Neurospora crassa OR74A: one gene and its partner. The protein of the gene in region 2 interacts with the protein of the main gene of each other region in a biochemical or structural test. Links are inferred from orthologs where the notes say so. Each region holds a gene or a part of one and is shown on either strand. Other genes may lie near its edges.

Region 1 (2,546 bases), on a different chromosome or scaffold from region 2:
ATCGACCCGAGCAAGCCGTACATGACCCCCTGGAGGCCGCGCAACTACATGTCCGCTTTCGCGTTCATCCCCCGCTACCTTGAGGTCAACCAGAACATCTGCGCGGCCGTCTACCTCCGCCACCCCGTGGCGCGCCCGGGCGAGTCCGAAGTACCGTCGCCTTTCTCCCCCACTATCAACCAACTCGCGTTCAACTGGTACTTACGGAGAGGTTAAAGGAGGTCTAGTTAGGAGCGAGGGAATGAAAAGGGGAGATGGAGGGAGGAACGGCAGTCACTCTCTGCCGTCTCAGAGCGGTAGAATTCGCCAATGGACGATTAGAGTCGCGCGCACCCAGTTTTTTGCATGTCGCGGGTACGCTCTATTGTGCTTGTTGCATCTTCAAGGCAACCTCGGATGATGTGATACTCTGCACCTGCTGCGGCTTCAGTTGGACCATGCGTTGGAAATCGGGTTCGGTCTCGATGAGAAAGCTGCGAAGTGGGCGGCAAATCTCGCGATTCCCGGAGAAAAAGGAGACGGGGATGGATCATGCATGAGATGAGTTGACTTCATACGTATTTTGGGCACATTGCGCGTAACAGTTTGTTCGTTCCTCAATACCCGAACAATCTGTTGCAGACTCATTCAGTTCGCCCCCTTCGGCATCGATGTACGCTACATGTATCATTACCACTATTAACTAAATGGATATAAAGAGGGGCATAGACAAATTTCCTTCTTCTTTGCGTAAGAAAGTCATGAGACAGATGAGAACCACCGAGACACCTACGGTCTCCTCTCTGAAAGCTCAGTGCTTATATAGTAAAATTGCCAATCATAGCATTGTCGATCGAGAGGAGCAGTGCAAAGGTAAACACTTATCACTGAGGAAGACGGCAAAATTCGCCTTGAGAGCGCGAGAGAGAAAAAGGCTAAGAAATAACTATCTAGGAGAGGCTAAGTGTACGTTGAGTGTGTGTATGTTTTATGTGGTAAGCAAGAACCCTCCGTGGCTGGAGAGCGAAGCACCAGTTGAGAGAATCGGCCGGAAATGTTGGGTTGGGTATGACCGACCGTAAACCGTGAAAAGAAAAACCTCCTACAAGAATTCCCCGTGAAATAAAAACATCTGATCGCCGATGAAAGCAGTTAATAAAATACATGTGTTGTTGGGATATCTGGTCGTTCGTTGCTTTTCGTCCAAGTGAGATTTCCCGCCTGTTCCCTTACGCCCCCTTTGCAACTTGCATATGGTGCAACGTCGCGAGCACAATTCAAACCCGACTCCTTCTGATCCCTCTATGAGCTTCTCGGTTGTGAATTGCTCCTCGCTCCCGCCAGCCACAGCATCCTAACCGACTTGTCAGTCATGGTGGCAGCCGGAAACATGATGTTGCCGACAGTCGGTCAAGAAGACAAGGGCAAGCAGAGCCGCGAAAGGGAGTTGAGGGCCTGATTGCTGCTGCGCCGCAAACATCTGATGGGGAACAGCCAACGAATTATCTCTCTTTCTTCTCCCTCATATTTTCGGAACTCAACTCCCTAAAGCAGATAAGAGGATATATCTGTTGGAACCATGCTGCCATTGTGAAGTAAGAGATTCTCGAAAAAGCTCCTCCGGCCCAATTACATCTGCATTAGCTTTTCAAGAACAAAGTCGACCGGACCGCACCCCGTCCCAACGACGGAACACACCGGCTTTTGGAAATTTGACCGTTTACGGCAGCCAACAAATTTCTAACAGAAACCCATCCGGTTATGAAGGGATCTGCAAAGAGACTGTTGGCTTGCGAGGGGATCCTCCCGCAGGATTAGGAGGTTATGATTAGAAGATGAACAAATGGAAAACAGAGAATGAAGGAATGAAGCGGCAGGCCGAGGTGTATGCGGGATAACATGACAGTACAACAGTCGTGAGAGGCGGGTGAAGTTGTTGCCGCAAAATTATCGGAGAGAAAATCCCTTCCTCTTTGTCGGCTCCTTCTCAATTGGCCGCCCACTTTCGATTCGGGACTTCTTCTCCTCGAGCTCCAGTCGTTGGCGCTCCAGCTGCTCCTTCATCTCCCTATGACGAGCATACAGCTCCTCTTCGCTCTGCTTCAGCTTGGATTCCTTTTCAGCAACCTTTTGCTGGAAGACCATCTTCATTTCGGCTTCCATCTTCGCAAGCTTCTGTTCGTGGAGGGCGCGCTCTTCCTCCTGCTTGACGGCTGGGTTCACCTCCTTGAAGACGCTTGGATCTTGAGAGACGCCCATAGCGATCAACTTGTCCGTGCGGTAGTTCTCGTAAAGGACGTTGTTGGTGTGCTCCTTGAGCTCCTCCATGTGAGTACGGATGAGCATCTGGCGGAGCTTCACAAAGTCGCAATGCTCCTCATTGTCCACCTCGATCACACCCCAAGGGTAACGGCGACCGCGAACCTTACGGCCATCGGCGTTTGTGATCTCGTTGGTCGCACCGACAACAGCGAAGGGGACCTTGGACATGATCTCGTTGTTCTCCGCGATGGTCTCCTCATCGTCGAGTTCGTAGCGAGGGCCCTCAAAGATTTGCACCTTGTGGT
Region 2 (4,483 bases):
ACAAGCCCGGGGCATTTAATCACGGTTGCCGAGAAGCTGCCCCGTATCTGATACGTACCGAGGGGCTAAATCTTGGCTGATGAGCGTGATGGCGATGTGTCGATACGAAATGGTTTCCCGTTTTCAAAAAGTTCAATTATGCGAATACATAGCACGGTCCTATCGCGCCGAGCTTGAACACGCGAGGAGCATGAGCACCTCCCACCTCACTGTGCGCAGGAGGAGGGGTTGTCCCGGCCGTGATTGACGCGGGCAAGCAGAGATTGCGGCTGTGTTGTATGTAGATAGAGGTACTGTACTGACTGTCGAACAGAGACCACAGAACACCGCAGAGGTTGCACGCAGACTCGTTCTCCAAGATGCCAGGCCAGATCAGGATCGGAACCTGGAATGCCCTCGAGTTGACGTCTACATTGGAATCGAATCAAGCTGACGGCGTCAAGCAAGGTCCAGAGCGGGTGTTGGAAGCAACCTCGACGACATGATGCCAAAGTCAAGAGGAAACGAGGGGAAAAGGTTGAAGAGGTGGTGGCGCCCTGGTCCCTGTCAGTCTCCCGTGCAGAGTGTCCCCGCCATCGCCGTTCCGTTGCCGCCGGCGGTTGAACAAAAAAGTGGGCAGGTGAACTGATGGAACTTGAAGCCTCTCACAGGCGCCTTTTCGTGGTGTTGTAGTGGTAGCAGTGGCAGCAGTGGTCGAAAGTGGCTCTCTTCAACTGCAATGGCACTGCACCAGGCAGTCTAGGTAGTCCCACTCTCCCGTCCCCCACCCGTCCCCACCTGCCCTGTCTGGCAGAGGGGACGGGACTGAGATGTAGAACTAGAGGTAGGTAGTGTAGTGTAGTGTAGACTTCAGTTGCTTCCCAGAAGGCCGGACACACTCCCGCTGTCTGTCTAGAAGCCGAAAAGTGCATGTGCTGCCCTCTTGTTGTGCGGTGCAGTGTGCAGATGCAGCAAGCAACAGCCGCCCGACAGCAGTCACGAAGCATTCGAAGGGAATAGGTAGACCTAAGACCGACACAACCTCAATCATAGTATGCTTCCCTGAACTTTGCGTCCGGGCTTCCTTGTCTCCAATTCTCATTTGGCATCTGCAGGCCGAGTGTCCCCGCCCCGCCCGCCGTCCGACCGTCAGCAACACCGGACGACAGCCAGACAACTTCAGACGACAGCAGCAGTAGCAGCCCAGCAGTAGCAGCCCAGCAGTAGCAGGAGCAGCAGCAGCATCGCCGCGCATAGCCGACACCCGTCCGCCATCTTGGGTTCACTCATTTGAGCCCGGCCAACAATAAGTCGATAACGAGTTTGACGAGATTCGTAAAATTCGACAACCCACAAACTGTCAACGGCCACACATCGACACCGACTCGTACAAAGTTGGACCACCATTGGACACACCCTGCCCAAAGCAAGCAATCCCCCGCGCCGCCCAACCAGTCACCCACTTTATCCAAGTCATCCAATCCCTCTCCAGTCTGCGCACTTGTAGCACCAGCACCATACTGCTTGGACTATGCCCGACCTTGCCCTGCTCAATCATCAATTGGGTGCCGTCCACAAGCTAACGTCTGCTCACCACTCTCAAAAGGTAGCCGGACCCTGACCTTCTGATAAGCATACTAAAAAGCTTCGAGATCCATCAAAAATAAATCGTCATTCAAATAGTCTAGAGAAAACAAGCGGAAAAGTGAAAAGCGCCAGCCTAGTCCGAGTTCCCACACAGCAGTAACAACAGAAAGCATCACCCCTTCTTCAACGTACCCAGTCCCCGCCAAACCCAGCATCGCCGGCGGTCCGGGGTCTGTCTTTTTTTCCTACCTTGTACCTTCAACTTGTACACAATCCCACCACAAACCAAAGCGCAATTTTCGACCGGCATCAAGCTTCCAGGATCCCGTCCCCCTTCAATTGTCGACTTTTTTGCTCTTGTCCGTTCTGTGTCTGTGATTCTGGCCTGCCAACTTATCCCGCCCGCCTCAATAACTGCTGCCACCCCCCCAATTCCCGTCTCTTCTCCCAAGTCTCGCCTTCTTTTGGTTGACCCGGCCCCCAGCCAAACCGTCCGCCAGTACCGTACGTTGAACATCTTCCTTGTCTTTTCTTATTCTTAGTTACCCCATCTCGTAGCCCTCGTGCCCTTCCCTACGCTAGGGTTGGGTTTCTCTCGCAGTGACCATGGACGGCCAGCTCTCCCTCCTCTCGCCCACCTCGTCCTCCTCCACTTCGCATAGTCGCAAAAGACTCACAAAGAAGCAACGCCCGCCATCCGCAAATCACCGCACTAGCTCCTCTTTCAATGTCGAATCGCTCCGTATTGACGCCCAATCTCTAGACAGCAAACGGAGCGCCTCCAGCCTGCGCCAGGGCCCCAACTGCAACCAAAGCCCATCTCTGGCCAGGACCGTATCCGTCCCAGTCTCCGTCCCTTCAAACGCGCCCGCCCACACCAAAGCCAGCGACCTCTCTCTGCCACGCTCCCACACCACTCGCTCTCAATCCGCAAATCGCCCTTACAATCCGACGCAGACAATACCAACCAACCGCTTTATCCTCTCGCCGGCCTCATCGTCGCAACCCCAAACTCAATCGCCGCCTTATCCCAGCGCTGTTGCCAGCACCACCGTTACTAGCTCCAGGAACAAGGACACATCCAAGCAGTACGACCCACTAGACTCCTGCATTGGATCCTTCGATCAAAACAAATTATCCACGGATGAACTGATTGGCGCTCCATTCGACGGCAACGCCATTCTCAGTCGAATCGAGGCAACAAAATTATCAGCCGCGCCCGCGCCCACGTCCACGACCACGATTGCGCACTCCAACAACATTTCTCCTCGTCGTGTCGCTCCTCCTCCTCCTCCTCCCCCGCCTGCTCTATCGCGCTCAAACACGGACTCCAAGGCTGCGAGATCTTCAAAACCGTCAAAGTCGCCCAAATCCACCATATCAAACAAGACCATGGGCGCATCTTCATTCCGCCACTCGGCGAGTTTCTCGTCGGCTGAACAACTTCCGCCAAGCGAAAAGCCGTCCAAGTCAGAGAGCAGCTCTTCGAGTAACAAGAGACACTCCGGTGATGGTAAAGAGTCCAGGGTGCCCGGTATGCTAAGGAAGAAGTCGGGCTTCTCCGGCTTCATGAACAGCTTAGTTGGGTCTCCGAAAAAGCCATTGATTTCGGCGCCAGAGAACCCCGTTCACGTCACACACGTCGGATATGATAGCAATACTGGCCAGTTCACGGTATGTTGCCATGCCATGTCAACTAGTCTGAATGTTATGGATGGACTAATACGTTGATAGGGTTTGCCAAAAGAGTGGCAGCGTTTGATAAGCGAGAGTGGAATCACTGAGAAGGACAGAAGAGAACACCCACAAATACTGGTCGATGTCCTCACATTTTACAAGGAGACAACCGAGAAGCCACAGGAAGATCAACAGCTAGAGAAGTTCCACGATGCACGAGCGACAGATTTTCGCAGCCCGCCCGTGACCGGCACCGCTCCGCTCGTACTGCAAACAGGCGTTGGCTACGCTCATGGTCCCATGTCGCCAATGATTAGTCCACCCGCTAGTCCTAGGTTTCCTCAAGTTGGTCATGAGGGCAGCTTTGAGAACCCCCGTGCGCCGCCGCCGGTTCCCAAGGGCCCTGGCCCTCTTCCAGCAAAGGATATCAACTTGATCCCCAGCAGACCGGCACCGAAGCCACCAGCAATATCCACACGACCGCTGGTGCCGCCAGCCTCATTGCCAGCCAAGGATTCAGGAATTGGCATGCCACCGCCCGGTGATGAGGCTCCGATGCCGTACCTCCCTCCCAAGGATAATGTCCAGCATATGTACCAGGAGGAGCACAGGAACAGGTCCAGATCGAATTCCCGGACAAACGGCGCTGCCCCGTTCTCTCCCGTGCAGGCGTCCCCACTGCATCCGATCGCCACGGCGAACCAGACTGCGGCTTATCAGCAGCAATTGTTGCAACACCAGCAAGAACAGGCCATGGCCCAAGCCCAGGCAGCAATGAGCGGTCAACTGAGCCGAGCTGCAAGCAAGAGACAACAACCAACTCCGCCCACCTCACAACACCAACACCCCCGGCAGCCAGACATCAATGGGGCTCCTCGTATGCCACAGACTCAGGGGGCGGCTCCCCAAGCTAGCGCGAGACCCCGTCACAGACCGCGGCAAAGTAACGCGATTGATGTCGTGGCTTCCCTAAAGAGGATATGCTCCGACGGGGATCCGAGAGAGATTTATCGTGGGTTTACCAAAATTGGTCAGGGTGCCTCTGGTGGTGTGTATACTGGCCATGAAAGGGGAAGCAACAGGCTGGTGGCTATCAAGCAGATGAACCTTGAGCAACAGCCAAAGAAGGATCTCATCATCAATGAGATTTTGGTTATGAAGGAGAGCTCACACCCCAATATTGTCAACTTTATTGACAGTTACCTATGTGCTGGGGAATTGTGGGTAGTCATGGAATACA

The links.
Region 1: of the proteins of stk-4 (region 2) and NCU08297, one has a biochemical effect on the other in vitro, tested with the Saccharomyces cerevisiae proteins (2 studies listed by BioGRID). The link is inferred for Neurospora crassa OR74A from reciprocal best matches to the Saccharomyces cerevisiae genes STE20 and CDC3.

The regions. Positions count from the first base shown.
Region 1 is NC_026504.1:2,500,491-2,503,036, reverse strand, and holds the end of NCU08297 (cell division control protein 3), read right to left. Parts: coding exon 1,927-2,546; 3' UTR 735-1,926; downstream 1-734. Other genes in the region: NCU08296 (mito ribosomal protein S4), read left to right, coding at 1-216. UniProt on the Saccharomyces cerevisiae protein: Septins are GTPases involved in cytokinesis that assemble early in the cell cycle as a patch at the incipient bud site and form a ring approximate 15 minutes before bud emergence, which transforms into an hour-glass shaped collar of cortical filaments that spans both sides of the mother-bud neck.
Region 2 is NC_026506.1:2,078,509-2,082,991, reverse strand, and holds the start of stk-4 (serine/threonine-protein kinase ste-20, variant 1), read left to right. Parts: upstream 1-1,381; 5' UTR 1,382-1,405; intron 1,406-1,512; exon of another isoform or gene 1,513-1,589; 5' UTR 1,590-2,172; coding exon 2,173-3,240; intron 3,241-3,300; coding exon 3,301-4,483. Other genes in the region: NCU03895 (hypothetical protein), read right to left, coding at 137-408, 778-817, 1,168-1,254. UniProt on the Saccharomyces cerevisiae protein: MAP4K component of the MAPK pathway required for the mating pheromone response, haploid invasive growth and diploid pseudohyphal development. Links the pheromone response G-protein beta gamma subunits to downstream signaling components.